4 linked regions of the Arabidopsis thaliana genome follow. The protein of the gene in region 2 interacts with the protein of the main gene of each other region in a pairwise test. Each region holds a gene or a part of one and is shown on either strand. Other genes may lie near its edges.

What was found.
Region 1: the proteins of AT2G21530 (region 2) and AT2G17600 interact in a two-hybrid assay, tested with the Arabidopsis thaliana proteins (one large-scale study listed by BioGRID).
Region 3: the proteins of AT2G21530 (region 2) and HTA13 interact in a two-hybrid assay, tested with the Arabidopsis thaliana proteins (one large-scale study listed by BioGRID).
Region 4: the proteins of AT2G21530 (region 2) and AT2G22760 interact in a two-hybrid assay, tested with the Arabidopsis thaliana proteins (one large-scale study listed by BioGRID).

The regions. Positions count from the first base shown.
Region 1 is NC_003071.7:7,651,451-7,660,102, forward strand, and holds AT2G17600 (Cysteine/Histidine-rich C1 domain family protein), read right to left. Parts: upstream 4,770-8,652; coding exon 3,027-4,769; downstream 1-3,026. Other genes in the region: AT2G17590 (Cysteine/Histidine-rich C1 domain family protein), read right to left, coding at 1-1,705.
Region 2 is NC_003071.7:9,214,790-9,222,924, forward strand, and holds AT2G21530 (SMAD/FHA domain-containing protein), read left to right. Parts: upstream 1-4,462; 5' UTR 4,463-4,582; coding exon 4,583-4,859; intron 4,860-4,954; coding exon 4,955-5,019; intron 5,020-5,104; coding exon 5,105-5,165; intron 5,166-5,357; coding exon 5,358-5,504; intron 5,505-5,595; coding exon 5,596-5,675; 3' UTR 5,676-5,819; downstream 5,820-8,135. Other genes in the region: AT2G21520 (Sec14p-like phosphatidylinositol transfer family protein), read left to right, coding at 1,167-1,200, 1,419-1,834, 1,909-2,175, 2,254-2,331, 2,409-2,510, 2,599-2,648, 2,749-2,848, 2,939-3,037 and 3 more; SFH3 (SEC14-like 3), read right to left, coding at 6,042-6,056, 6,157-6,228, 6,403-6,752, 6,954-7,065, 7,154-7,171, 7,250-7,339, 7,424-7,523, 7,609-7,658 and 3 more.
Region 3 is NC_003074.8:7,224,843-7,232,533, reverse strand, and holds HTA13 (histone H2A 13), read right to left. Parts: upstream 3,145-7,691; 5' UTR 3,063-3,144; coding exon 2,874-3,062; intron 2,781-2,873; coding exon 2,571-2,780; 3' UTR 2,388-2,570; downstream 1-2,387. Other genes in the region: AT3G20690 (F-box and associated interaction domains-containing protein), read left to right, coding at 1-964; AT3G20680 (plant/protein (DUF1995)), read left to right, coding at 1,371-2,387; OCT4 (organic cation/carnitine transporter4), read left to right, coding at 4,024-4,435, 6,095-7,263.
Region 4 is NC_003071.7:9,674,327-9,682,625, reverse strand, and holds AT2G22760 (basic helix-loop-helix (bHLH) DNA-binding superfamily protein), read right to left. Parts: upstream 4,783-8,299; 5' UTR 4,615-4,782; coding exon 4,174-4,614; intron 4,036-4,173; coding exon 3,658-4,035; coding exon of another isoform or gene 3,622-3,657; exon of another isoform or gene 3,530-3,621; coding exon 3,461-3,529; 3' UTR 3,124-3,460; downstream 1-3,123.

The sequences.
Region 1 (8,652 bases), 1.6 Mb from region 2:
TGTTGCAAATAACTTTTATACTCAAGTTTCCGAAAAGCAACGTGTAGCCTGGCATCATATAAGCGGACCACCCAAATACACAACTGCGGTGGATAGTGATGTAAGGTTTGCTGCATGTGTAGAACCATTCCCTTGGATCTAGTATCCCCTCGCAGACTTCACACCAGTATGTTTGATCTGAGACTTCTCCGTAACAAAGGGAGAAAGGAACTGCATCATATTTGTTGTGTAGCTTATCTGGAATGGTGGCACACTCATAACATAGAAAAACTTTGCATAGAGTACACTGTAGATAGTATGACGAGGTTGAGCCTGTGTGATTGCAACCATTACATAGTCTCGTATCATAGTTATGGATAGGGAGGAATAAGGGATGTTCATGACTTTTGTGGGTGAAACAATCAGGAACTAAGATGCATCTAACATCTACCTGGAACCTTTTTTGCTGGTAAATACGCGTACATCTCTTTTTGGAGCACTTGTACACAAAACCAACGGTCACTCGCTCGCAAACTGAACAATTTGAGGAATCCCATGCGTTTAGTGGAACCGGGTCTAGGAAAAGAGGGTGATTATGCAATCCATGATCTAGTTTCCGAGGAAGATTGGCACATACCTCATGGAGAACATAATCACATTGAAAGCAGTTGTAGAAATGGCGAGAGTCGACATGAAGGACACACGCTTGACATTGCTTATCCATGTCTCGAACACGGTCATACTTCTCAAGCTTCAGATGATGATCATGACAAAAGTACTTAATCAAATCATCACCAACTTTTTTGAATGGTGCAACATCTTCGGTTTCGTCAAACTCTTCAGGTTCCCATTCGAGTTCTCTCCCATCCCATACATTTTTATGTGTTGCACACTTGGAATGGACTACAAAAGAGCAATCATCATGATTGCACGTATACTGGCCATAGTTGATATCAACTGTCTCGTAGCAAAGACGACACAACGATGAAGTTGAGGGTGAAAGAAAAGGAGTGTAAAAAAGACGATGAGGGTGACGGGTGATTTTTATGACGCGTGGTAAGTCTATACAATCCTTGTGGACCACGTAATTACATTGAAAACAAGCATAACTTGGTCTCCATTGCTCTACCAACCCACAAGCATCACATGGAAACAAAAGAGGTCGAGGAAGGAAAATTAGTGAATGGTGATGGCTTTTTGGATTTGAGATGGTAGGAAGTGGAAAGCTTTGGGAACAACTAGAATCCAAAGAAAAGTTACAGATAGAACATCGATAGAAAAAGTCAAAACTTCTTAAATCATTTCCACACCAATTGCAGTTACCAAGAATAGAACTATCCTCAGGTATTATTGATGATACGTCGTAGGAATGTATATCGGAATCATGTATGATGCCGGTTTGACGGTCTTGAACACTGAAAATGAGAGGATGTTGTGGGTGATAAGGGTGTGTCATCTTCCTTGGCCGCAAGTAGCAATACTGATCGAACTCTAGATCACATGTGGTACAGAAAAAATAGAAATAAAGAGAATGCCTTATGAATGTGGAGTCTGAGCTTGCAAAACAACCAGACGGAGGGTGTTCACCATATCGACGGGAGAGGGTGTGAGGATGAGATGGATGAGACAAACGACATATTTCTTCTTCTTGACCAGATACTTTGCTAGATATTAATAGCTCTTCCTCTCCGCCATAAGATATCGTCTCTTCTTGGCCATAAGACATTTTTTACTCTTTAGATCTCTTTTTCTTTCTCTAGTATTGTCTTCTTTTTATTGTTATGATCAAGATCAAATACGAGTGTCTATATATATATATATATATATATATATATATATATATATATGTGTCAACAAAAATTAACTAGCACATAATTTCATACGAACAATGATCCACAATACAATACAACAGTACATTAAGACGAAATGGCTACAGGCTGTTTCGATCTACTTTAAAATAAAATATGTCTTTGCTTATTTTGGAATTGTAGAGGGGAGCTACTATCAATTATATATAATAAGTTTCGATTTACTCATTGACTTTTATAGTTTTGTAATATTGTGCTGGCCTTCTTACTTTAAATAAATAATTTTACTGGTATTATGTTTAAAGTATAAATATATTTTATAATTGTTTATGTATTAAATTATTGTAATAATGAATTTAAATGTAGAAGTTATGTAAATTCTACCAACTTTTATGTTTTTTTTATAAATATTTTAAAGATTATAGTTTAATATGTAGTAATTTGTAAAGTTTAAATGACTATTTTTCTAAATATACGATATATATATTGATAATTAATTTAAGTAGAATTATAATCAATGATAAGTACACGTGTCATTAATATAGAGTGTTAGATGATTAATTTTATAAGCAATTTGTGACAAAGAAAAATAGAACGGATTTTTCCTCGTGACATGTCTCCGGTCTGTCCATATAGTTATATTATTAATTTAAAATTGGATCCGAAATGTAATCGTGAATTTATAAAAGTTGTGGCTGTCTTTCCCAAACATGTCTTGAGAGACTATGATAACCTATATGACAGCAATTAACCTGAGTTTATTATTAGTGTTTTTTGATTATTTAGTTTCAATACGTAAATAATCCAACGCATCATATGTCACCCAATAATTTTATACCATTCGGCTCTATGTAGACTTTGGGCTTTGTTTCTTGTTTATGTTTCGGCTAGGCTATCTTTTTTTTTTTGTCAAGATTTCGGCTAGGCTATTTTAGTTTATGTAATTGTGCATGAATTGATTTTTTTCTGCTGGACCGTACATATGGAGCGGACCATGTCTGAAAAGTCGAAGCCATCCAAAAGGAAAAATAATAATATATTTGAGATGAAAGACACGAAGTAATATTCCTACTTACAGTATTAAGTTTGTAATATTCATGGTCCATTTAACACTAACCAAAATTTTCGGCTTTATTAACTTAGGTTACATTGTTGCCTTATGTAAACTCAAACACTTAGATAATAAATGTTGAATCTATTACAAAAGAACTCTTCACGGTCCCAAAAACTATATAAGGCTTATTCCTTTTCGACATTGTCAAAACTTTCAATGTCAGATGTCCAAACACAAAGCCAGGAACAAAAAACCTTCTCAAACAACTTGTAGTACACCGAATCCGGGCAACGATGATCACACTTATAACAAATCGGTCGAGTATGACTATTGTTCCCAAGAATTTTCATCGATGCAGAGCCGAAATAGAATGTGTAACCTGACTTAATATAAACGGAAGATCCGAATATACACTCAAGGTGGATAGTGATACAACATTTGTTGCATGAGTAGAACCATTCTCTTGGATTCAATTCTTTCTCGCATACTTCACACCAATATGCTTTCTCTGCATCTTCTCCATAGCAAAGCGACAGAAGATGTGCATCATATTTGTAGTATAACTCATATGGAATGGTCGCACATCGATAACACATAGCAAATGAGCAAATAGTACATTGCAGATAATACTCATCACGAACACTATCTTTGCAACCATCACAAGAAATGTTTCCTTTTCTAGAATATGATGTGGAGATGAATAAAGGATGTTCATGACTTTTGTGGGTGAAACAATCAGGAACTAAAATGCATCGAAAATCTATCTGAATTGTTATCTCATCATCGCAATCAGTTTTTGAACATTTGTACCTGAAACCAGTGGACTCACGGGCGCAAGTTGAACAACTTGTGGAACTGTAATCGAGTATAGGAGAAGGGTCTAGAACAAGAGGATGCTTATGCAATGCATGAGCCAATTTTCGAGGAAGACCAGCACATACCTCGTGAAGAAAGAAGTCACATTGCACACAGTTGTAGAAATCATAAGAGTCGATACGAAGGATGCACGCTTGACATTGTTTCTTTGCGTCTCGGACACTATCATACTTCTCAAGCTTAAGGTGATGTTCATGACAAAAATACTTGATCATATTATCACCCACTTTCTTAAATGGCACAATATCTTCAGTTTCATCGAGTTCTTCTGGTTCCCATTCGAGTTCTCTTCCGTCCCAAACGTGCATATGTGTTGCACATTTGGAATGGGCAACATAAGAGCAACCTTCATGATCGCAAGAATACTGGCCATATTTGATGTCGACTGTCTTGTAGCAAACTCGACAAGATGGAGTTGTAGGTGGAAGGAAAGGAGTGTGAGAGAGACGATGTGGGTGACGCGTTATTTTTATGACACGCGGTAAGTTGATACAACTCTCATGAACCAAATAGTTGCATTGGAAACAAGTATAACTTGGTTCCAACAAACTAACCAGCTCACAAGCTTCACATGGAATTAAGAGGGGCCAAGGAAATAAAAAGAGGGAATGATGGTGGCTTTTTGGATTTGTAATTGTAAGAGTTGGAAAGTTTTGGGAGCAAGAGAGATCTAAACAAAAGTTACAAATAGAACAATGATAGAATTGAGATCCATCTCTCAAATCATCTCCACACCAATTACAATTTTTGAATATGTAACCATATTCGGGGTTTTTAGATATGATCTCTATTTCAGTGTTTTGAGTGGTGAGGGTGAGAGGATGTTGAAGGTGATAAGGGTGTGTGAGCTTCCTCGGATACACGTGACAAATATCGTGGAACTCCACATCACAAGTGGTGCAGGAGTAATGGAAGGTAGAACATGGTGAGGGTTCTTCTTTGTCGCATGCGAAGCAACCCGATGGAGGGATTCTTCCGGCTCTACGGGAGAGGGTGTGAGAGTGAGTTGGATGAGACAAACGACATATTGGCTCTTCTTCATTAGCAGCCATTTTCTTTTTCAAAGTTTTGGTTAGGATCCAATCTGTTTATCTAAAATATGATTACTTCCATCGTGTGGAGATGACTTGACTAATGTGGACACAACTTATATGATTACGACTAAATAATGTAGACCCAATATACAAATTATGTGAAGTGCAAATTATACTATTAAAAATGACACGAGATTAAATTTAATACAACTTCATTACATGATCTGTCTCTCCAGACTGATATCATCTGTGACAACGAATTAACAAGAATTTCTTTTGGCCAACAAAATTAATTAATTCCACTGTTTATTAATTAAAAGAAGAATACGTAGATACGTAAGAGTTACAGGGTGTGAGCAAGGCCAGGGTAGGGTGGTTTGGCCCCCTTCACTTACCATTGACTTTTAATAGAGTGGGCTGGGCTTACAAAATTTATGTTTGTTATGTATTAGTTGATCATATATTATTTCATAGAAATTTCAACAAAGAATTCATATTTGTTTCATCCTAGCTGATTTGGTGAAAAGTCGTTAATATAAATATATCACTTCACAAACAACAACAAAATAAATACTCCCTTTGTTTTAATTATTTGTAGTTTAACCAAAAAACCTTTGTTGCAAAAAACAACAACAAATTATCTTCTATGCAAAAATTAAATGTATTTAATAATTTTTGACCAATTTTATTTTACAATATGGTTTTTTAATTGGTTGAATTAGTTGTAATTAATGATGTTTTATGTAAACAAATAAACTAAATGAGATTTTGATGATTTAATCTGTGCTCAAAACCTTTAGAGTACAAATAAATTACAACAGGAGAAGCATTACTTTTAATTATTAAAGCTCGTCATTAGTAACACAGAAACAAACAATAAAATGTGATGGCCGTTGTTATCGCTCATCCTTGTCGTCCATATTACTTTGCCTAGCTGATGGACTATATCTGAACGAGGAACGGCCAATTTAGCTAGTTTAGTCCATTTCTTTTGAACAAAGCAAACAATAAAATTTATTTGAATCAATTATGAGAAAGCCATTTTTTTTTAATAATCTTTGTAGAATTGCCATTTTGATTTTGGTATTTTAAATTTGCCACTTTTGCTGAGACAAAAAAAAACAAACAATTTTGCCCTCTCCATTAATCACACATTCACCATTTCGGTTAGTTTCTTCACAAATTCATATGTTTTGTCTAATATATGTAATATGTCATGTATCTATAAAATAGATAATATTTATCAATTAATTATATAATTACTGAATTTCATAAAGTGAAAAGAAATAAATAATATTTTTTTTTTTTTGTCGTCAACTTTTCATTATATTATGAAAAGAGATACATCAAACAGCGTTCCAAGATATTACAAAGACAGAGTTTTGTACTCTAGCTGTTTTTGCTAATCGATCAGCTTTAAAATTAAGGACACGTGGGATTTTTGAAAAACCAATCGATTTGTATCTGCGGCAATATTTTCGATGTCCCGGAGAAATGTTGCTATCGGTGAATACTCACACGAATGTGTGGTTCTGGTTATTGGCTGAAACAGAGCTGCAACATCACCATGAAAGATAATGTCTTCATAACCAAGCCTCTGTAGATGAATCATTGCTAGTTTAAGGGCTTCAGCTTCTGCTTCAAGCGGTGTGCTGGTTGGGGGTATAGACGACATTCCTCGCAGAACAAATTGAGCTTTCCTATCATAGAGGATCCATCCAATGCCTGCACAATCAGTAGGAGATATCCATGATGCATCCACAAAACAGCAATATTTATTTGCTTTTACGATAGTGTTCTTAAAGTCTTCAGATGGCCGCCGTAACACTTATTATTGTGACTATCATGGAGTTGAGGTTTCCTCTGTTGTTGCTCATTGCAGTTTAAACTCTCTTTCCATTGTTGTTGATCAATAAGAGCCTTCTGTATACTGTCCGGGATAGACCACCTCTTGTTATTGAAAATTAAATCATTCCTCATTTTCCAGATTCGCCATCCAATGAAAGGGAATAAACTTACATCCTTTCTTGCGGATTGGTTTAATTTCTGGATAGATTCCAAATTTTGATTAAAAGAGTTCGACATGAGGGAGTCACCTGGACAGAGTTTTATATGTGCTTGCTCCCAAATTTCCTTGCTGACTCTACATTGGAAGAGAAGGTGGTTCACGTCCTCCGAGGCTTCACCACACCGTTGGCATGTATCATCAGTAATCAGTCTTCTCCTCTTTAAGTTTCCTGCAGTGGGTAAGGCGTTATGAGCCGATCGCCACCAAAAATGCTTTATTTTTGGTGGGGCATTTTGTTTCCATATATTTGTAAATACAGTCTGAGCTGAAACCTCATTTGGAGAGGGCAAGGAAGCATGTTGTTGCTGGGAGAGCTTACGTAGTAGATGGTAGCCTGACTTGACAGAGTAGTTTCCATCATGCGTATATATCCATGTAATTGCATCATTTGCTCCTGTTATAGAAGGTCGAATAGCACGGATATGAGGTATATCATTTTGGTGTATGAGTTTGCAGAGAAGATCTTCATTCCATCTGCCTTCAATGAGCAAATCACTTACTTTCAACTGAGAATAGATGGAGTCACATGTACCAACAGGAGGACGGGGAGGATTTAATGGTAGCCAATTATCTTTCCACAACTGAATATTATTACCATTCCCTGCAATATATTTTAGGCCACGAGAGATCAGCTTTGTACCATGGAGGATGCTTTTCCACGCATAGCTGGATTGACTTGTAGCTTTTGCATCCAGAAGTCTCTCCTTTGGGAAATACTTTGCTTTAAAAACTCTTGCCATGAGTGAGAATGGTTGTTGCAGTATTCTCCAACTCTGTTTGGCTAACAAAGCAATGTTAAAATCTTTTAGATCTCGAATTGCTAACCCTCCCATCTTTTTTGGGTCATTGAGTTTCGACCAGGCTACCCACGGAATCTTATGTTTGACTTTTGTATTGGACCACCAGAACCATCGCATAGCACTTGTGATCTGATGAATAAGCCTCATGGGAAGCAAGAAACATGACATACTGTATGTGGGAATGGCTGTGACAATTGATTTAATAAGCACTTCCTTCCCTGCAGGTGAAAGAAGCTTATTATACCAATTATCCATTTTTTGGTCCATTGTTTGGGCTATAAACGAGAAAGCATTTGTTTTATTCCTTCCCACAAACTCAGGCAAACCTAAATATCTGCCAAAACCTTCTGTTTTATAGATTCCCAGAAGTTGACTAAGTTGTTCACTAGTCCTGAAATCTAAACCTTTACCAAACAGAATTGCAGATTTTTGGAAATTAACTGCCTGACCTGATGCTTTCTCGTAAAGCTTAAGCACATTAACCAAGGTCATACACTCTTCCAGAGTAGCTTTGCAGAACACCAGAGAATCGTGTGCAAAAAGTAAATGAGAGATTGCTGGTCCATTTCTACTAGCTTTAAAACCATGTAGTTGTTTTGCTTTAATAGATGCTTGAATTAAAGCTGATAGACCCTCTGTGCATAATAAATATAAATAAGGCGAAATAGGATCACCTTGTCTAATGCCTCGCTTTGGAATAATTCGTCTCACTGGTTGCCCATTGATGAGAATAGAGTACGTGGTAGTTGTGATGCATGTCATAATCCAATTACACCACTTCTCTGAAAACCCCATTTGTTTCATTATCGCTTCAATAAAACCCCATTCGATCTTGTCAAAAGCCTTTGTGATATCCAGTTTTGTAGCTACAAAAGGTTGAACAAGCTTCTTAGTGTGAAGCGAGTGAATAAGTTCATGTGCAATAAGGATATTGTCTGTGATCATTCTTTCAGGAATAAAAGCTGATTGGTTGTCAGAGATTAGAGAATTCAACCAAGGCTTAATCCTTTCAGATAAAGCTTTTGACACAATT
Region 2 (8,135 bases):
CAAATCTGTATTTCAAAAAATCAAATAAAAATCATCTTAAGTCACTAACCTATGTGATTAATCAAAGTGGAGTAAAATTTTCCGAAATAACATTTGCAAAAAATTGTTGAAATCTAAATTGACAATAGTTATAATAAAATATCCAAAATTAAGTGGGGTCATATTGTAAAGAATATTTCATTTTCCACCTCCTGTTTTGACGTTTCTCTTCTTTTTTTTCCAACAAAAAAAACAAAAGCAATTAAATAGTGTTTGTCGTTTAGTTGGCGGAATTCTCTCAGTTGAATTTTGTTATAAAAATCTTACAGGTATACAGGTCTACTGTCCATAGATCCGTTAAAAGTTTTACCTACGGCCATTAATGACCGTCCGATCTTCCTTTGTTGATGATGACGAGGACCAACTATCTCTGCACTTTCTCGGTTTCTCCTTATTTAACTACTTTTAATATTACTCCAAATTCACACCCCATAATTATGCTTCTTTTTGCATATTTGATCAAAAACTAGTTCTAGTGACAGAATTAACCTCAATTTCCGTAAACCAAGTTTTAATATATATCAAATGCAATACTCGATATCACACATTATTCACTAAATGTGGGAGACTTTCATATTTTTTGTTTTGTCACACACTATAATATGAAGAATGAAAGTAACATGATATTTTTGTTCTAGGTGTAATTTAATTTCCAAAACATTAAAAATTCCTGACACAAAATACTGTACCACCGTCAATTTGGGGGGTAGATTGAAAGAAAATAAAGTGTGGGGCTCACAGATAAAAACGAATGTAACAGTTGGGGTCTCATTAAATAGCGGTGCAAATACAAACTTCTCTATAACAAAAATCTACTACTATTAAAAAATAATTAAATTCGAGAGGCAGTTTAGGTGAGAAGAAACTGAGAAAGTTCGGTCCGAATTCTAATCCCACTTTTGTCTCTCAATTTGTTTCCCCTTTCTCTCTCTCTCTCTCCTTCAAATTTTTTTAGCGATTTTTCTGGGTTTCATGTAAATGTGAGAAGTAGATAGATTCTCAACAAGAAAAAAAGGTTTTTTTTTTTTTTTTTTTTGGATTCGTGGATCAGCCATCTTCTCGAAAGATTTGGGAAAGATCCAAAGAATCACAATATTTTTTCGATATTTAGTCGAAAGGAATTTAACATGTCAGGTCCACTTGATCGATTTGCAAGACCATGTAAGAGATCTCAATCTTCTTTGTAATGTTCTTGCTTCTGGGTTAGCTTTTTTCTAGGTTTACTGTAGCTTAAACTTGGAATTGTGTCTAATATAATAATGAGAATCTAAAAATTGTGTCTCTTTGCTTTCTCGTGTCTTCAATATATGTTGTTGAGCTGGTTAAATAATGTGTATTGCTTTAGATAATTTTTAATGTGTCTCATCAAATCAAAACAGCTTTCACTACAGGTTTTGAGGGATTCTTGAGCAGTGATGAGAAAAAGGAAAGAAAGTCAGATTTTGAGAATTCAGAGGATGAGAGGAGAACAAGAATCGGTTCCTTGAAAAAGAAAGCCATTAATGCCTCTACTAAGTTCAAGCATTCTCTTAAGAAAAAGAGCGGAAGAAGAAAAAGTGATGGTCGAGTGAGTTCTGTATCCATTGAGGATGTGAGGGATGTCGAGGAGCTACAAGCTGTTGATGCGTTTCGACAGTCGTTGTTAATGGACGAGTTGCTTCCTGATAGACACGATGATTATCATATGATGTTGAGGTTCTTGAAAGCGAGGAAATTTGATGTTGAGAAAGCTAAACAAATGTGGGCTGATATGATTCAATGGAGGAAAGAGTTTGGTACTGACACTATTATTCAGGTATGCTATTAAATAGAAGATAGTAGTTTAAACCATTGTTGTCTGTTTTTGTAACGTTTTATTTCTCTCGTTAGGATTTTGATTTCGAAGAGATTAATGAAGTTTTGAAACATTACCCACAATGTTATCACGGTGTTGACAAAGAAGGTAGACCTATTTACATTGAAAGGCTAGGGAAAGTTGATCCTAACAGACTCATGCAAGTTACAAGCATGGATCGATATGTAAGATATCATGTAAAGGAGTTTGAGAGGAGCTTTATGATCAAGTTTCCTTCCTGCACTATTTCTGCAAAGAGGCATATTGATTCAAGTACAACTATTCTTGATGTTCAAGGAGTGGTAAGTATTTTCTACAGTTCATGATATTAGTTGTGAAATGAGTTTTTTTCTCATGTGTTTATATAACTTCATATTCAGGGATTGAAAAACTTTAACAAGTCTGCTCGAGATCTTATCACACGATTACAAAAGATTGATGGAGACAATTATCCTGAGGTATTAGTTAATTGGAGCTTCTAATACTTGATCTCAGGTATCAAATGCTAATCTTGGCTTTGTGGTATTTCATGCAGACTCTCCACCAAATGTTTATTATCAATGCAGGGCCTGGATTTAGGCTACTCTGGAACACTGTCAAGAGCTTTCTTGACCCTAAGACATCTGCTAAAATTCATGTATGAGAGATCTAAGTTATATCTCTATTTAAAAGTCTTGTCTTTGATTATATAGAATTCAATATGGACTATTCTATTGTTTATGTAGGTACTCGGATACAAGTATCTAAGCAAATTGCTTGAAGTCATTGATGTCAAGTATGTGAACCTTGACCCACCCTTATTTGATCTGTTCTATCGAAAGCTGCACGTTTTTTTGTTTTTGCTTATGTTCAAAATGGTCTGCACTTTTTTATAGCGAGTTGCCTGAGTTCTTGGGAGGTGCATGTACTTGCGCAGATCAAGGCGGTTGCATGCTTTCTGACAAGGGACCTTGGAAAAACCCGGAAATTGTGAAGGTCATTTACTTAGACTAATCTCTTTTTGGATTCTATTTGTATCATCCAAGTTGGAATCTGAGACATTTGGTTTTCTTCTCATTATTTCAGATGGTGCTTCATGGAGGAGCACATCGAGCGAGGCAGGTGGTGAAAGTGTTGAACAGCGAAGGGAAAGTCATTGCTTATGCAAAACCTTCATATACATGGGTACGTAGTTATTAAATCCTATAACTAGTCAATCTTTAACTTGTGGCTGACCATATTGTGCCTAAACTCTGCTCTGTCATAAACATAGATAAAGGGAAGTGACACATCCACTGCAGAGTCAGGATCTGACGCTGAAGATATCGGTTCTCCGAAGGCTATAAAGAGTTTCTCTCATCTCCGCTTGACACCTGTTCGTGAGGAGGTAACTTTTTTCTCTTTCTTTCTATCTTCTAGTTGGGGAAGTAGTAGATGTTTATCCTGAGGCTTTGCAGGCAAAGATAGCTGGTGAAACAAGCTTGGCTGGTAGTTTTCCGGGTTATGACGAGTATGTACCTATGGTGGACAAAGCCGTTGACGCCACCTGGAAGGTGAAACCCGCCATCCAGAGAGTTGCCTCAAGAGGTTAGTTAGTTAGCTGCTATATGCTTTACGTACCAGTAGGCTCCGGTTTAGAACCAAATACTGAAGGAAAAGAATTTAACCTAATCCTTGTTTACATAGGATTTATTTTCTTATTAGGATTGTTTTGGAGTTGGTTATAAAAACAGAGTTTTTTTGGTCTTTCTTTGTTTGGTGATCTTAACTCTTATCTGTTTCCTTCAGGAGCTTTAATGTCTCCCACCGTTCCAAAAGATCATGAAGGCATCAAGGCTCGAGTCCTAGTAATGTTCATGGCATTCTTGATGGCGGTTTTCACATTCTTCCGCACTGTAACAAAGAAACTTCCAGCGACTACTACTTCTTCCCCAGCAGAAACCCAAGGAAACGCAATAGAACTTGGTTCTAACGGTGAAGGAGTTAAAGAGGAGTGTCGTCCTCCTTCTCCTGTACCAGACCTCACGGAAACTGATCTACTAAACTGTGTGACGAAGAAACTGACAGAGCTGGAAGGTAAAATCGGAACGCTCCAATCAAAGCCAAATGAGATGCCATACGAGAAAGAAGAACTGTTAAACGCAGCCGTCTGCAGAGTAGACGCACTTGAAGCAGAGCTCATAGCTACTAAAAAGGCCCTTTACGAAGCTTTGATGAGACAGGAAGAGTTACTTGCTTACATTGATCGTCAAGAAGAAGCTCAGTTCCAGAAGATGAAGAAGAAGAAGAAGAAACATCTCTTTTGCTTCTGAAGCAAAGCCAAGAAAAACCAGCACCAGGCATCAAAATCTCCCTCTTTCGTAATTCGCTGTTCTTAAGTATAAACAACAAAACAAAACAAAAACTCTTATATCTGATTTGATGTTAAAGCTAATACAGAGAGCTCTGTTTCCTTCTGTGATTATGAGCCACTTTATATTATATGTTTTATTTTTATAATCATAAAAAAATCTGTAACTGTAAACTTGTTAATGCAAAACGAAAAAAGAGTATCGAAATTATTAATCAGGATTCTGTTTTTTTTTAGGATTTTGTTTTTATCCAGATACAAGATATTGTAGCCACATATCCCATATAGTGATTATCTCTTAACGTATCTCAAAAGTTTTTGCATTTTTCTTTACTTCATATTTTGTTTTTGTAAGATCAATCAGTTTTTATGAAGAGAAAATGGAGATAACAATATCCCAATTGTGCTCTCGAGTTAAGTTTTCATCATCATCATCATCATCATCACTTTTCTGTTTCTATGGAAACAGTAATAGAAACAACCTAAATGGAGCTGTTTCAGTAAACTGCTTGAGAGAGAATGAGCAGATCAGTAATATTAGCTTCATTGCGAAGAAACCAAGAAGTCATGCACCGGTGGTGAGAACAACACGCGCCTCCTTGGATGAGAATCAATCCCCAACTTCCGGAGGAGAACGGTGGCTTCTCAAACCAGTTGGTCAGAGGCTATTTTTTTGTTTCTCTAGGTTTAATATCAATGAGCTTCTTTAATCTTTTTGAGTCTTGAAAGTCTTTTTGCCTGAAAACTTATAGGCGATGGAGACACAAGACACATTGGTTACAAAGTGGCAATGCCTGCTCCTTTTGAGATCTCCTCTGTAAGAAACTATACATTCCACTAGATTGATTGATTTTGATGAGTTTTTAGTTTTTGCTAAGATCACAAAAATGGGTATTGAGCAGGGCCAAGTTACCATCGGACGGCTACCGGAAAAGGCTGACGTCGTGATTCCTGTTGCCACCGGTATTTCTCTGTTCTTGTGGTTTTCGGTTTTCTTGAATTTGTAATCAAAGTGAATTTGGTTTTAATATGAATCAATTTGATATAGTTTTGGTTTCGGGTTTAGGTTCGGATTCGGTACTAGATTTTCGATTGTAGATGGTTTATTGCTTTAGTTTGGATCAGAATCCAACACTCCTAGTCTTTTAACCTCAGTGTCAGGAGTCCATGCGACAATCAATACGAATGAAAAGAACCTTCTTGTGACGGATATGAACAGCACCAACGGTACATTCATCGAAGACAAACGTCTAATTCCTGGTGTTGCTGCTCCTGCCTTTCCCGGAACACGAATCACCTTTGGTACACCAATCTTTTCGCATGATTTTCCATCTCTCTCTCTGTGAATGTGATGGACCGATCAATGAGGTTAAACTCTTTGTGTGACTTGCAGGAGATACAAATCTAGCAATTTTCCGTGTTTTCAAGCTCCAAGATAGTGAAGAATCCATAGAGAAACCAACTACAGAGTAACACAAAACCCGAGAATTGCTTATCTTTGCTTGCAATTAACCGGTTTTTGTTGAAATTCTAAGTTGTTTTACAACATTGTTGATTTATATATATATGAACAATAGCTTTTTATATAATATTATAACATATATATTTTTGTTTTTGGTACGTTACAAATTAGGTGTGAAAGAATTGATAAGTGGTAAACATAAGCTTTCAGATATTTCCAGAGGGACAAACAACAAAACATTTACAGAAAGAAAATTTCCCACATTTTTATCTGTAAAAACTCTTCACGAATAATATTTATGTTTATATATATAATAAATATGGATTTATATATATTTTTCCAGGTTTCTTCAAAGTCTTGAGGCATTATCAAGTCTTTCAGAATCCAAAGAACTGAAAACAAAAACAAAAAAAACATATAAATACGTAAACAAAATCAAGTACGAATAAATCTTGAAAAAGAGTGTTTTAAAATGTGTTAGTTTGTTGTTACCTTCTTCTTCTTTTTCTTCTTGTCGATATAAGCCATTATCACATGCTGCGTTGCCATGGTTTCCTCCAGCGTCTGAATTTTCAACAAAATAAAATTGATTTATAACAGGATTATGAAAATGGTCTAAATTTTAGATCAAAAGAATTAAAATAGCTTTTAACTTTTATAAATGAACAAAATAGTCTAAATTCAAACTTCTAAACTCTAAAATAAGAAACTAGTTATGGAGGCTGTTTAACTTTGTACCTTTTTGGTCTGAGCCAACTGAAGCTCTAGCTCGTCGACACGGCTGAGAGCAGCGGTGAGAATCTGTTCTTTCTCTGGCGAGAACGCTGCAGGCTGATTGTCCAAAGACCTACATTTCTCCTCCAACTCGGCCATTCTCTTCACCATCGACATATACTCTTGGTTTGACACCATTGTAGTCTCTGCTTTGTCCACTTCACCACCGTAAATGGCAGCCTCAGTGAGCTTCCTTGGCATGTTCTTCGTTAGCCTCACCACAGTCATTAACCCCATCACCAAAGACATCACTCCCCCGAATAAATAACCTTCTCCTCCTCTCCTCTGCGATGGCTTCACGGCAGAGTATAAATCTGCGACGGCAAGAACACATTTAGGTAATAAGTGGTATTCTTGTTGAAGAGTGTAGCGGTATAGTATAATAGCAGAATCTCTTTTCAAAGACATGAAACTATGATGAATGTTTGGAATGGTAATAAAAAAAAGAATCATGTTTTCAAAACGTGAAAACACGAATAAATTTAGTGTAGTGTCAATGTTTCAATGTAGTGTACCTTCAGGTTCAGGATAGTTTGACTTGTGGAGATTTGTAGGCCATGTAGAAGCATTCACAGTTTTGTCAATCATCGGTATGAATTTTGTGTTCTCTGCATCGAATTTGTTCTTCTGCCAATAGGATTTTCAAAATCAGTCATACAGAGAAAGAGAGAGCTAAAGAAGTAACCTTTATTATTGACAAAAGAGAGAAACTCACCGCAAAGGAATCAGATTTCTTCAAGCAAAAATATGAGAATGTTAGATATTACTGTAAATTTTAAAGATCAAAGATATTTTTGTATTTTGCTTTTACCATTGTTGTGTTCTCGTCCACTGAGATTGTCTTCTCTTCAATGTTTGACAAAGTCTTCCTTGGGCACTTTCCTTCTCCGTTCTGAACCATCTGTATATAGTTCAAGATTCAGCTTCTCAGTTCATCGTTTCGTTAAACGGTTTTCGAAGATTCTCTACTTATCCTACAAATTACCTTGAAGATGTCAGGGTCGTTCCATGGACCTTTGTCAGAACGCATACATCCACCTTTGTCTGCACAAGTGCAGTTACCACCCAAGAACTCAGGAAGTTCACTAAACACAAATAAAGAACAGATAGTTTTCAGATTACGAATTTGCAGCTAAAATGCAGAGTTATGGAGCTCTGTTACTCTCTTACTTGGAGTCGATAATCTCAAGCAGCTTGCTTTGGTATTTGTTGCCAAGAACCTGTACATGAGGGACATGAGATTTCGGACAACCGTAGACCTTAAAGTTTGGATCTTTGAAGTGACACAAAACAGAAAAAAAGCTTACGTGAATCTTTGCGGTGGTCTTTGGGTCAAGGAAAGATTTCACAGTGCTCCACAGAAGCCTGAATCCACTACCAGCGTTGATAATGAACATACGGTTCAATGTCTATATGATCCATAAACACAAAAACAATTCTTAGTGCCATTTTAACTTGATAGAGATAATTACAAACTATTTCAAAACCATTAAGAAAACAACATAGTAACCTCAGGGTAGTTATCGCTATCGATCTTCTGGATACGCTGAAGAAGATCCCTTGCAGCCTTACTGAAGCTCTTCAACCCCTAGAAATCCAAAACAATACCAGAAGAATCACTCACTCATTCTCTCTTTCTCTTTGATCTGTATAACCAAAACAAATGTGGCTAGAGATTAGAGTGCATACCACGCCTT
Region 3 (7,691 bases), on a different chromosome or scaffold from region 2:
AACCGCATCAGGGAAAAGAGATTTGATAATGATTAAAGATTGTAAGGTTTATTCAATTGGCGTCAATCTCCATGGTATTCAGAACAACAACAACATTATTGATCTATCTATAAAGAATAAAGGTATTCTTCACCTAGAAAATTTAGATCTAATATTCAAGGAAATATTCAATGTCTTTCACTGCAACGGTTTATTGTTGTTATACGGAAGCATCACTGATGATAGTATTAGGCTTGTGGTTTGTAACCCGTATTGGGGGAAACGTGAATGGGTCAAACGCATAAATAATTTTGCAAGTTTTGACAAACTTGCTTTCGGATACGACAAATCTTGTGGTTGCCACAAAATCTTAAGGGTTTTCGATAGTTACCCTAATAGACTTGAAATCTACAATTTGAGGTCTAATTCACGGATGGTTTCTAGTTTCCCTCTTAAATGGGATATAGCGTTTATGCAAGATGGCGTGTCTTTGAAGGGAAATACTTACTGGTATGCTAAAGATAGAAGATCAGAAGATTGTTATTTAATATGCTTTGATTTTACTAGAGAGAGATTCGGACCGCGTCTGCCTCTACCTCAACCCTTCATCGATGAATTTTTGGGGAGTCTATATGTGGTAAGAGAAGAGAAGCTTGCGGTGTTAGTAAAGCGGTGGCGGGGTGGCAAATCTGAGATCGATATTTGGGTTACGAACAAGATTGAGCCCGATGAAGTCTCGTGGAGCAAGTTCTTAAAAGTTGATAACACACCAAGATTTTTTCTGACTGAGGGATACTTGATTTATGATGAAGAGAAAGTCGTAGTGTTTTTTAATAAAGAGGAGACAGAGGGGCTCAAATCCACTGTCCACATAGCTTACATCGTTGGAGAGAATGGTTATTTCAGAAGAGCGGATCTCCGTGAACCTCTATATCAACCACTTTGCCGTCTTGTGTGCTCTTATGTACCAAGTTCTGTGAAGTAGTCTCAAAACAGTGGGTCTCGGTGACTCTCTATGCACACCAGGTCCTATGTGTTCTTATGCTCCAAGTTTTATTCAAATCAAGTTAACCAGACCTATGAATTAGTCTTCTTGCTTTCATCTTATTTTAATATTAATTTGTTTCTCATCTCTTTATGCAATTATATAATGAAGATTTATAAGTTATCAAATTACAAAACAGAGAGACAACAAGTGACGAGCAAGGTACTTTTGTTTAAGCAATTCCTTTGTTTTGTTTACTTTATTTTCGGTTTGGTTATATAAACCGACCCAAACCGAAATCAAATTTTCGTTTATGTAACTCGATCGGTTTTGTCTCATTTCTTATTTGAAGTTTTGAACAACCTTATCCTCTTTCTCTTCTCTTCCTCATCATCAGAGATCAGCCATGGCTTCTTCGACTCTCTTCAAACTCAATTCACAGACATTCAAAGCTCTAAACCCATCTCCTCCTTCGTTATCTCCTCCCAATTCCAGAATTTTCCATCTTCATTTCTCCAAATCACTCTCACAACAGCATTCAAAGCTCAACCACAAATCAACCACTACTCGTTTATTCGCTCCTCTCTGTTCCTCTCTTCCTTCACCTTCTTCTTCTTCTCCTCCCCTTTCCAAAGAAGAAGCCATTAATCAAGCCAAAACTTGTCTCCTTTCATGTCTCATCAAACCCTTAAACAACCCAAAACTCGCTTCCCCAAAACTCAGGAAGCTCAAACAACCAAGATTCCGTCTTGAAATCCCAATCCTTGACGATGATTCTCCTTCGTCACTCTCTCAGCTCGCTTTCTCGATCTTTCATGACTTACCCATCTCGAGAAGAGGCTCTAATGTCAAGCTTCTCTTCCTCTGGCCTAACCCTTCATTCATCGATCCCGCCGTTAAAGCTTTCCGGTCAGACTCTATCCACCACATTGCCATGTCTCCGGTCTCAGACTCTCTTAAAACAGCTCTGAGATCTGCTGACGTGGCGATCTTCATGGCTCCGGAGAAATCGCAGCTGGAGGATGTTAAGACCGCGAGTGAAGCTTTTTCTACAAAACCTGTAGTAATGATCAATCCGAGATGGTTGTTTGAAGAAGAGAAAAGCTTTGGAGATGGCTTTATTGGTTCCTTTGAAGTGATTTATGCGTTCACTGGCTTAGAAGTGAGAGGAGTGTTTAGTAAGAGAAAAGGAGTGATCTTTAAGTGTGTAAGAGACGGTGTTGTGAGTGGAGAAAGATGGAATGTTCTCGTTGAAGAAGAAGAAGGTAATGGTACTTTGAAAGTTGTTTCACAATTCAATTCTCGACCATCAATCGAAGAAGTTGAGCTTGTTCTGTATAACTTGATGGCTATGAATTCTCCTATTACCAAATCAGCTAAGTTTCTTAGTGATTTGGTTTCAAATATCACTGGGAAGAAGTAGTTTGTTAGGACTTCAATGTGTATTGATTGTGGATTCAATTCAAAATAATAAGATTTTAATACTTGTTTTTGAAGCAAAAGAGAGACTACACAACACCATTAATGAAAACTAATTCAGATCTAATCTAATGAAAGACTAAGCTACACATTAATTAGCTAAACAACCACAACACAAATCCCTAATCTAATCTTCATCAGCGGAAGGTTTTGAAGCACCAGCTTTCTTGGGAAGAAGAAGACTGTGAATGTTAGGCATCACACCTCCATTAGCAATCGTCACATCTCCAAGCAGTTTACTCAGCTCCTCATCGTTTCTCACCGCGAGCTGAATGTGACGTGGCACAATCCTAGTCTTCTTGTTATCCCTAGCTGCGTTTCCAGCCAATTCCAATACCTACAACACAACAGATCCAATTTAGAAATTAGGGTTTTACGAAATTGAAGATCGAAAGAGTAAAGAGATATAGGGAGAGAAGGGGATAATTACCTCAGCGGCGAGGTATTCGAGAACGGCGGCTAAGTAAACCGGAGCTCCGGCACCAACACGTGTTGCGTACTTGCCGTTCTTTAGAAAACGAGCGATACGACCAACGGGGAATTGGAGACCGGCTTTGCTGCTTCTCGATGTTGATTTCTTAGCAACGCCAGATCCGAGAGTTTTGCCGCGACCCGCCATTTGTGATTTGGGAAGAGAGATAGAAAAAGTTGAAAATTCTCAATGCGAGGGAAATTAAGATAAGCGTAAGAGGACGCTCTTTGGTTATTATATATACTGTGTAGAGACGGTTGAGTGATTCTTATCCAATAATAAACAATCACGCGGATCGATGTTACTGCCGTTGGATTAGATTATGATCGACGGTTTATAATTGGCACGCTTGAATTTACGTTTTTATACTCCTGAATTCATTGTTAGAATTGGGATTGACGGAAATACCCTTCAGTGGGTATAATCGACATGATTTAAATAGTGAAAATATTTTGTAACTCAAACATATTTTCGCAAAATAACTACTAAAATAGTAGATTAATGATATTTTTAGTTTGTTAATTATACACATCTAATTTTAGTGAATGTTATGAATAATTTTAAAATTTATGAAAATCTTACTTTTAAAACGTATAATATGGAAATGTGGTATATACATTCATCAAAATTGTGTGACACAATTTCAGGTTTATCATAGTATATATTTTTCTAAACATGATTAATCAATTTTTAGCATGTCGTATTAATTACTAATTCACGATTACACATTAGGTAATCAACCATATATAGAATCATGTGTTTTTGACTTTGAAATGAAATGTACAATACTAATTTGAGAAATAATACATGATGTGTCTTACTAATTTTCAAAGTGACAACTCATAAACGTTAATAACATGACATAGTTAAAATATATATAAGCAGAGCATGTAGTCAATATCGTCAACAAAAAAAAATAGTTACTAAATCAAAAGAGAATAAAAAACGCTAGAGAAAAAAAGAAGGAAAAATTGTTTTCCGATAAACAAGAGATATAAATACGACAAAGAAGCCACCTCCTTCTTCGCGTCAAACCAAATCAAGAACGCCTTTTAAACAAAAACACAAACACAAAAACAAAAACACTGTAAAAATCAAAACATAAATTATGGAATCTCCGGAGGATAGAAACGGTAACGATGTCCGACAACCGCTGCTAGAGAAAATTCCGGTGAAGAAAGAAGCGGAGGGAGAGGAGAGATTATGCATAGATGAGATGTTACAAAGATATTGCGGCGAGTTTGGGAGGTGGCAGTTGAAACACTTCGTGTTGACGTGTATTGCTTGGGCTTTAGAGGCGTTCCACACGATGGTGATGATATTTGCCGATCAAGAACCCGAGTGGAGATGCGTCGGGTCGGATTGTCGGGTCGGGTCATTGAACTGCGAGTTGGATCCGAGTTCTTGGGAATGGACGGCGGGTAAAGGGAGCTCCACGGTGTCGGAGTGGGGATTGATTTGCGGCGACAAGTATAAAGTTGGTCTTGTTCAGGCTCTCTTCTTCGCCGGCTGCATGATCGGTAAGTTTTTTTTTTCCCTTCTATATTTTTTTTGTGATTTAGGAAAATTACAAAAACAGTAAATTACAGCTGTAGCGTGAAAATGATTTTTTTCACGTCGAATAGTTTTTCTAATTACAGTCAAAAAAAGAAGATTAAACTCTAATCTTGGATTATCTTCTTAAGAAAAATAAATAAATACATAATTAGGAGTTTAGTATAGTTTCTGAGTGTCTTATCTAATTCGATAAGACAAAAAAAAAAATCATTCTAAAATTATGAACTTGTAATTTAGTGGATTTAGCTCTTTACGTGATTATCCGATAATTAATGAATATATCAACAAACAATAAATTAGTTGTTAGTTGTGTGCATAACTTAGCTAGTGTATATCGATCGCACCAATAAATTAGTAAGAGCAGATCAATGGGCACGTTGGCTTGAATCTGGATATTCGTACCACGTGCCTTGATCACATGAATCTTTTATGATTATCCGAATTTTAGAAAATAACACTATAGAGTAAAGATATACCTCACTTTTTTTCCGATATACCTTTCATTTCTATAGTATATTATAAATTTTGGATGATAATGCTTTAAAATTTTAACCCATTAGGCGGTCCAAGTTTACACACGTAAAAAAAATGATTGGCGAAGAAGAAAAGATAGACTTTGATAGGTATGATTGGTGCCAAAAAAAGAAAACAAAACTACTAAAATGACCCAAAAAAAATGTATAATATACGTGTGACTGACTAACGAGTTGATCACATTATATATTATCTTGTTCGCTTTTTTGGTTTAAAGTTATAAAATTCCTTCTTAATTCGTTGCATTGATCTGTAAAGTCGAAACACACAAATCTCTCGCGGCATGGCTTGCCCCTCTGGCCTTGTCTGCAAATAAACATTGGGTTATACGCTTCAGACTTAAATCATGATTCTTTTGTCGTAAAAACATAAGTTCATCCACATCATTTCATTACTTTAAAAAAAAAATTTGAACTATACTTATTGATGAAAGTTTGAAATATGTTTGACATCCCGTAATTGTTTTTACATCTACTTATGGTCTTGGTTAACACAGTATTCGTTAGCGTTTATATGATGATATTAATGAATGATGCTAACAACATTCACGTTCACATTTGACACAAACGAGGCCAAAAACATCTTAACTACATGTATAATTGCACAAACAAACAAACAAAATGATCATTATAATATGACCCACCTAAATAATAGAAAAACCAACAGTTGTTTGCCTTATTTTGGCTAATGTTTAGATTACTTTATAAAAAAGGACAGTTTGGCTCTGGATTATCCAATCTCTACATTTGATACACATTATACAATGAATAGGATATACGAAGGAATATCCAATTAGAGTTGCATACTAGTCAAAAATTTTACATGTAACTGGCATGAAGACGTCATCTTCCATGGTTGAAGATATCGTTTTCATGTCAACAAAAAAAGATTGTGAAACATTGGTCCAACATATCTCAAAAAACAACTTTATGTAGACCATACATGCGTTATGGTCCCGATGAACTTACCAAATCTTTGATAAGTCTTTAACCAAAGTTTAACTACTGTATACCTTTTTCTGATTACATTTTCTAATTACAACTTACAAACATGGCCTAATGATAGTGTACCGACTCAATAATGTGCAGGTGCAGGAGTATTCGGACATTTATCGGACTCTAAGCTAGGAAGAAAAGGCTCGCTAACAGTTGTATGCATTATCAACGCAATCTTTGGTATCGCGACAGCTTTCTCCCCAAACTACTGGACCTATGTAGTTCTCCGTTTCTTGACTGGTTTCAGCACCGGTGGTGTTGGCCTAACCGCGTTTGTCTTAGCCACTGAACCCATTGGACCGAGCAAACGCGGTGTAGCCGGAATGTCAACTTTCTACTTCTTCTCCGCGGGCATTGCAGTTTTATCCGGCATCGCTTACGTTTTCAGATCGTGGAGGGAGCTTTTTATAGTGTCATCGTTACCATCTCTCTTGTTCCTACTCATTGTTATCCCATTCATATCCGAGTCCCCAAGGTGGTATCTCGTGAGAGGCAAAGTAGATGAGGCGATGAAGCTGATGCATTCGATCGCTAAAACGAACGGACGTCACATTCCAGCTGGTGTCACTCTTGCTTTAGACGACGATGTGGAAAATAACAACGGGGAGAGGAATACCGCTGTTGAGGGTTCGCTGAAAGATGTTATACTGTCGCCTCTCATGCGGATGAGACTTGTCATTTCGGTTGCCATAAGTTTCACAGTCTCTATTGTATACTACGGACTAAGCCTCAACGTAGGCAACCTCAAGACCAATCTTTACCTCAACGTCTTTGTCAACGCGGTGTCGGAAATGCCGGCATTTGCTATAACCGCGGTTTTACTAGACAAGTACGGGAGGAAACCGCTGTCCATAGGGACACAGTGGTTCAGCTGCGTTTTCTGCCTCGTTGGATTCTCTGTATGGGGAGCTGGTCCATGGAAATCAGTTAGAATGGTGTCAGGGGTTTTAGGGATATTCGGGATGGCAGGAACGTACAATCTTCTGTTCATATACATCGCGGAGCTGTTTCCAACAGTGGTGAGGAACGCGGCATTGGGTTGTGCGACTCAAGCAGCTCAAATGGGAGCGATTCTGGCGCCGTTTGTGGTGGTTTTAGGGGAAGAGTTACCTTTTGGGGTGTTTGCGGTTTGCGGGTTAGTGGGAGGTGGGCTTGCGTTTTACTTGCCAGAGACGTTAAACAAGCCGTTGTATGATACAATGTTTGGGATGCACGAAGCTGAGAGTGAGAGTAACAGAGAAAGAGGAGAAGTAATATGTTAAAAGAAACAGAATTTACACTTAGACATGGAGAGACACAAGTCAAGATCTTAGAAAATAGGTGTTTTTGAAATGTCGAATTGTTTTTGTAGTCTTACATGTTTCTTCGCTTTAACAGAGATAACATTGATTTTGCATTAAAGTCTATGGGTCTTGAAATGGTGGTACATGTTAACAGAGATAACATTGATTTTACTACCACAAACAATAAGCATTGTAATGCACGGTAAATACAAACCAATATTGCTTGCAAGAGAAACAAAGAAGTTAATCGGAAAGTGAAGATTGAACCAATTTTGCTTGCTAAATAATGAGGAAACGACTTATTTGTTATGAAATGATGGATTCTCATACTCTCCCTAGAACCGGAGGAGGCTTAACATCTTCAGCAACAGGAGAGGCTCCATTAACGTTGAATCCACCTCCAAGCG
Region 4 (8,299 bases), 460 kb from region 2:
TAATAATCACTCTTTGTGAAGTTGTCTCTGGAACCATTTTCCTATCCTCGTGAATCATGTGTGATTAATTGTTTTGCCTCATTATTGCATTAATATTATTATTAATAGTATTTTTTAGGTCAATGCATTCTTATTATAATATACCGATTGTTCTTATATATAGCAAAGAGATCAAAACTAATTCTAGGACCTGGGATCGATTAACCCAATAATAAATATTTTTTATAGCGACAACATATGTGATATAGTGGTTTGTTTAAATATCATCCATGTGTCATGCCATTCGTAATTAAATTTACAATATGCATTGCCAAAAAACAAAACAAAAAACACATTTGTTGTGAATGTAATCATTTTCCATACAACTTACATCCATATATGAAGGGATAATAATTGTTTTGATAATTTTGGTTACGGGCTCAATGAAGTCTTGATGTCTTTTTTTCTGTTTTTTTTTTCTTTTTGTCTTGATGTCTTTATTCACATCATTAATTGGTGAATTGAAAAAAATGTGGTTCAGTGTACCTCAAGCATACAATGTTACTATACATAACAAATATTTATCACCAACAGTGTTTATGTGGATAATAAATAATTTTTTCCCATATTGCAATGCTTTTTTTTTTTTTGTGTAAGCACCATATTGCAATGCATATTAAGATGAACAGAGAGAGTATTAGTTATACGTCTTGATTAATTATAATTCAAAAAAGAAATAACAATTTGAGATCTGTACGAATATACAAACAGGCAAACACCAGATTAATTAGTAGTACTCGTACATGTCATTACTTTACTCTTTATCTGAATTATTTAATACAAATAATTTAAATGGTTCGTGAATAATATATAACAAAATTGAGTAAAAATGATTTCATGATATATCCACCTTTAAGATGCTATTCTTTCTGGAAAAGATTGAGATCCATTTTATTAAAGCCTTTATAGTTTATATCAGTTAATGATCTCCACCCTCCATGTTACTCCTTACAAATTTTATTTATTGTTATTGTCTACATATTAATTGCGGAGATTTATGATGATAAACAAATATCGAATGAACCTTCTCACTACAAGGATCGTTTGAATAATTTAATGGAGTACATAAACTCCACATTATCAAAGAAAGATTTTCAGTTCACTCTTAATTTGTTTCCAACAAAAACTTTTGGGTATTTTTGAAACTCGTCAGATTGAACATGATTTGTAGATTGTAATCTAAGTTGTGGTTATGCTAGTATTATACCACGCTATCACCATCTGGACTTTTTTTTTTGTTTATAATTTATGTTGTTAAAAAACTGAACCTTCAAATAATTTTTCTATATACATGAAAAAAACAAAAATCATCTCCACAAGTTTAAAACTGTGGTTATGGTTTTATGAATGTTCGTTAGTAAATATTTCTAATAAGGAAAATCCGAATTTCTAATTTTTTTTTTGTATTATGGATGTTCGTTATCAATTCTGGAAAAAAATTTATACCTAACAATTGATTAAGACTACTCTCTCAAGTCTTAACGCTTTTAAAATGTATTTCGACAAAAAAAAAAAAACGCTTTTAAAATGTAGATGAATGGTTACAAATGCATTTACTTACATAATGCAATGTTTGAACGACGATTGATTAATTCCTTAAGTTATCAATAACAATGATATTTAAAGGTGATGTTGACTACGTAATAGAGCAAACACGTGATTTCTCATGTATACATATGGCCACGCTTTTGATAAACTTTCAACTGCAGTGGTTAGAGACTTTAGAGTTAAATCGTCCCGAGAGTGTTTTTTTCATTAAATATAACAATTTTGATTACAAACTAGTGTCCCGTGAAATTGACTTCTTCTTTTCCCACCGAATTTAGTTTTTTCATCTGCATGCTCTGAATGATACTATAATAGCAAATTAGACAATATAATTAAGGTGAATCAGGGAAAACTATCATTAATCAAGCATATTATGGCACACATGCTCTTGTGGTTATGTCAAAACCTCTACGATTATTCACTAATCAAAATCCAAGACAATGGAAGCTGAAGTAACATGTTCGTGTCGATATTCAAAGAGATGGAAACCATAAAATATATAGTAATTAATTATTGTGAGGTATTCACAGTGGTTGACTATCCTTTAACTTTTTTGTTTGTGGCAAAAGACAAGTTGTTGACGGAAGGAAAAAAAAACTTTTAACGGATTGAATTGATCACGTGATATATAGTACATGTGATTCATGTGATCACTCCTTTCTCGATATGAAGGGAGTTTTTAAATTCGAAACTTATTAAGAGAAGTAATTAGGCAAAACATTTTGGTATATGAGCCATTTAAAAGCGTTATTAACAGAGATAAGACATGTGTCAATCCGAAGATCACAAAGTTAAATGTTATCAAGCTATAGCTGACCCTTGATCGTGTGACTATTTATATCGGAAATCAAGAAATAAGAAAGAAATTTTAATAAGCTTAATTTATTGTAATTTTATTCTTAATCGATGCGCTGAATTATTATTTTTATTAAAAATCTTTATCTTAACTTTATAATTGATTAGTATCCCAGATTTGGGGTGAGTATAAACGTATCCAAGAAATGATTTTGTTAGGTGGTACTCAAAGGTTTTGAATTGGCTTTTAATCGTACCGCGTCGTGCGGCAATTATTATTTGGTCACGTCCCTCCGATACTGCCCTTGCCCTATGACTTCTAAATAGTTATTGGTAAATAGTAATAAATTTGGTTGAATTTAGCGTCATTTTTTTTTGAGCAAATGTAGCTTTTTTTTTTGTCGAAAGCAAATGTAGCTAAGTTGTTGAATTTGCTAACTACTGAAACTTTCAAAATAAATTACGAAAACTATAATTGTATATCTTTATTGGGGCAAAACTATAGATAATTAAGTTAATTCTTTTAATCCATTTTCATGCCCTACTATTTTTTCGTAAATATTTCAGAATTTTGTAACATTGACCTTCGATGTAATTTTGCTTTCTACAATATCTTTTTAATGTCAAGCAATCTTCTTTTCCTTTTTTTTTTTTTTTTTGATTGGTTAAAAGGTTTGCTTTCTACAATATGTTTCTTGTTGACATGAATGTGAATTTCATTAAGAATTGAAGAGGGTTTGTCAATAATTACAAAATACTTTAACAAGTCAGAAGGCATTACGACCATGCTAAGGATAAGGCCACATTTGTTTTTTTTTTTTGGACAGCGGATAAGGCCACATTTATTTCTGCCACTTAATAAAAAAACAATTCTGTTATATTTTAAATTCATTATTAACAAACAAAAAATGTTACATCTAAATTAATTCTCAACGGTCGTTATCGGAAATAGCTTTGCTAAAAAAACACATCAAACATGTGGGCACGTGTGAAAAAATCTCAAGAAGAAAACGATAGCAAATCCACGAAACGATTGTGTCAATGTACAGTCTCAGGTTACTAAAACTTGAAAGAAGACCTAAACCATTGCGAGTCTCAGGTTCCGTACAAGATCCTTAAGTATACTCATCGAAAAATCTTTATCCATCTGCCACACAAAAAGTTAAGAAAGCATAATTGTAGATTATCAGTTTCATTAATACATCAATATTATATTGGATGAACTACGAGTTATCCATTTTAGTATTGCATATATATATAGTTATTAATGATCACCTGTGCAAGGACTGTGATGTCGAGAGTCGAGTCTCCGAATGGCAATACGATGCTATTTTCAATGCGCAATTGAAAGTTTTCAATTGTGTTTAGTATGTTGATCATGCACCCTTTGCTTTTCTCGCAAAGGATTCGGATGAGAATGTCATTTTGAGAAATTTTCGCTTCGATTTCTGGTAATGCTTGATCGAATTCAATATGAACTGAAGGAGAACATGATAGGTTAGGTTCCTCGTCGAAAAACACTTTAGATTTCTTTACAAGAATCATGGATTCCATTTGTCTCGTTGCTTCTTTTTCTTCCTTGAGCGTTCTTAGTTGTTCTTGGAGTTGTTTCATACGCGAGATCGCGTCATCAAGAATCGTTACCTTGTCCGCCTAAAAAACCACAAGATAGTTTTGTATTCTCAAAACCAATTGACACTGATGAATTATTATTTTTTCTTCACTATGAAAATATCTATAGTTAAATATATAACAAATTTATCGATAATTTACAATTTAAATTTGCAATACCTTCTTAAGCCCGGGAAGGAGAGCTGAAAGAGCAATGAATTTTTCAGAAAGCTTCTCACGGCGCTTTCTCTCGGCTAAAACATGTTCTTTCGCAAGAACCGGAGATCTTGTGCCATGAGAACATGTTTTTCTTTTGGTTCCACGACCAACCAATTTATCCATAATGATCTCCTCCGCGGCTGGAGAAGAAATAACATTACTAGAGAAATCAAAAGAAATCAGTTGTTGCTTGTTGTTGATCTTCATCATAGGCTTCACCGCTGCCTTTGGCTTCTCTCTGAGGCACTCAAAATGCATTTGATGATCAAACTTTGACGATTGATCAGCTCTTCGTGAATTTGATAAAGATTCATCAGGTGATAAATTATTTTCTTCGTAAATATTAAAGTCGAAATCAATGTCTACTAGTGAGAAATCGGGTAAGAAAAAATCTTCATCCATACCCGAATATGAAGTAATAATCGATAAAGAAATGTCAAATAGTTTCCTGATTAAGACAAAGATAAATCGAGAGACGTCTTTATTGTTTTGTCGTAAAGGGTTTATGAATAGAAAGTGTTTTCAGGTATTCTTACTATATATTCGACAACGAGACGCGGCTTAAATTATTTTCTCCACTCCATAATTATGTTGACCAGATTGTGTATATAATGCATAAAACGTGACGTATATGTATAAACTAAACATATTATGATCGAAACTAGAAGTCTTCTCATTATTGTCTATAATGATCGTATAATTTGTTGGCTTCTAGTGGTCTGAGATTCATATACGTGTTATGAATTTGAAAAAAAAAAAACTACGTGTTATGGACCCAAAAAAAAAAAGTAAGAGAAGAGAGACGTGTAAATAAAATAAGCACGTGTTTTTGGTGTTGAGCTTATTCCCACTCGGAAACAACAAGGATATAGAAAAACTCTGTAAAGCCTCGTCCCCGTCTTCCCGTCCATCTAACAACCTCATTACTTTTTATAAAGGAAAATATACAAAAGTTATACTTTATTATCTTTTATTTATTATTTTAATTGTAATTTTATCCAAAAAAAAATCATATGAAATGTTAAGTTTTATACCGTTTGCAAATTTTTCATCCAGAAAATTACATTGTTAAATTGAAAGAGAAAAAAAACAAAATTTACTTACGAAACAAAAAATTACAACAATTTTTTAATGAGTTTGAAAATTCATGAACATATCTCGACTCGTTATACTGCAATAAATTAGATTAATGGTGGATATGATATCGAGGGATATGTTGCAGAAGAAGTTATGATACCATGTGGATGTCGACATCTATACATTTATAAACAAGTTGTGTTTGATAATTAATCGATCATACTGTTTTGTCTTTAAACTCAATTTGATTCCGATAAGGCGATAACGACCCCAGACATAATAAATGTCCCTACTCCCTACCAAACGGGTTATTTAGTCTTAACTGCACTAATAAGAGGCCAGACCAGGTTGGTATGATGACGAATTCACATATACATCCACTATCCAGCCCAAAAATGCAATGGTTCTGGGCCATGGCCATTTAAAAACAAACATTTCATATGAAGGATTTATGTAAGAAAATTAAAAAGTTAATATGCCTACAATATAAGATCCAAAATTAAGGCTTCCAATTAGTCTGGGTCGGTTTAATTCACTAGTTCTCTGATGAAACGATTATGTACTGATTCGACTAATTCAATGTAATGACTAAACAAAAAAAAAATAAAAATGTAATGACTAAAAAACTGGATAATGAATTAATATGAGCAAAAAAAGAATTAATATGACAAACATATTTTTAACTAAATTATAAATATCAAAATTAGAAATTGTTCAATTGGTACTGATAGTTTTTTTTAAACAGTACCAAAAATATTAAAATTATAAATTGCCTTTGTCTCTAGTAATATTGGACCTAATTGTTTCTTCTTCACAAGCAATTTTATTAAAAAGGTGGACTAGCTTTAATTTGCTCATCATCCCTTCGACAAAAACCCAAAAATTGAAATGGTCTCGGCATTCGCAATTTGAGTTTGAATATATTTTTCCGTAAGCAGATCAGGAACTTGCTCTCCAACGCAAATTCGGAACGTTAGGAATCCTAAGTCTAACTTAGGATAAACGCCAATGTATGCGGCATGGAATTGGTAAGCTCTTGGAATATTCTTTCCGTAGTAATGCGTACTACAATTATATGTGTGTACATGTCTATCGTCACGATATATTTGATAATAAAGATTTGGTACGTATCTCTTGAAATGAAGTCACAACAGTGCCTTTTAAAAAGGTCAGTAGAATTATAAAATGGAGATTTTGTTAGAAAATTTTGGATACGAAATCTGGATAACATATAATATTTTTTTATTTATGATATAAAGTGAGACAAATGTGTATCCATGCCATGGTCCTTCCGGTTGGTGGTGCGGTGGGGACGGGATATGCCGCCGAAATATCATAAATCCAGCTGACGACCAATCTTTTACTCACACACTCTCTTTTCCTTTTTCTTTTTTATATATCATATTATTACATTAACACACTATTTCGTCAATGAGTTTGGATAGGACCAATCATTTTCATTTTATTATTGTCGTCCTAATCAAACTCACTGTTAAGGGGCCTTCCAATTTTGTCTTTTTCCTTCGTCCATAATTCTAATAGTTGGGAACTAACCATTTATATTATTCTATTTTATATACAAAAAAAATAGATTTTAGGTATGAAAATTGTTAGTGTTATTGGTTAGCCACTGGATCCGTAATTATTTGAATTCTTCATATAATATCAAAAACAAAAATGAGTTATTATAATTATAGACTACGTACTAATTTTTTTAGTTTATCATATGTTGAATTTCTTCAAAGCGAGAAGAGAGAAGACAACAAAACAAAATTCTTATAAGCGAGCTCCTACTATAATTTAATAAGATATTTTCCATCAAAACCCAAAACCAAGTTAGATAAAAAAATTCTAACAAATGTAAATTATATATAGTATAAGCGTTATTTCTTATCTAATACCCCTACTAGTTTCAGAAATATACCAGTAGCCTTTCTCTTCCCATCATTAAGGACAATTATGGTCCAGAAACAAAATATCATGTAATTAAGATTGCTGTTAGCCTGTTAGGTACTTAAGTTTATGTGACCTTCTAGGCATTTTGGTTGGACTTTTTGGACCTGACGAAGACAAAACAAAACTCCAAAGAACACTTTTGGTTTTCACATTTGTTTGACCTCCGTGAAACGAGTTTCCAATAGAATAAGGAAAATGCCACGTTTTTAATTCAATTAAATAACTCATGGCTCATGCATTGCTTTGGTCGCCTGTTTTTAAGGAATTTCCACTATAACTATAACTTTTGCTTTTTACTTTTTTCCGTAAGATGTGAACTAAATCATGGGGAGTGGAAATTAGTTTAATTACTTATAAAATTGAGGTCTACTCCCACGTTTTCAATTCAATTAAATATTTTTTGTTTTTGTTTTTGTTTTACGATTATAGTTTTTTCTTTGGATTCAATTGCTATAGTTTCTAGAAAGCTATATATGTATATGTACATTCTGATAATGTGTGAATTTTCTCATACATAAAACTAAAAAATTTCAATAGATTAATATACGTATAGAATCTCAAACACTCCTTCATGCTTTGGTAAAAGTTGTCTGCTTTATGACTTTTTTCTTAAATCTAGCCAACTGAAGGTTTCTAATTTCGGTCCTCGTTTTAAAACGTTACTTTTGACTATATTTAATTAAATAAATTTAAAAAACATAATGATTAGCAAATGAAAAGGTGCGACTGAAAAAGTATTGCATGAAAAATTGATTTTATTTTCACTTTTAATACACATTTTATCACATAGACATAACTCATAAGTCATTACACGGTTTTGACAAAATGCTCGTGAACTGACCAAAATATTTTTAATGAAAAAGACTGAATCCAAATGCGTCCTAATTAAACCTGATTATAACAGTTTATTAAAATTTCCGTTTGCGATATATCAAACTCTATGGAGTATATACATACTTTAGTTAAGATTGAAGAGTTTTTTTTTTTGTTTGAGTTTGATTTTATATACATTTACATTGATATAATCTTCCTATATTTCACAGAAGGCATTTTC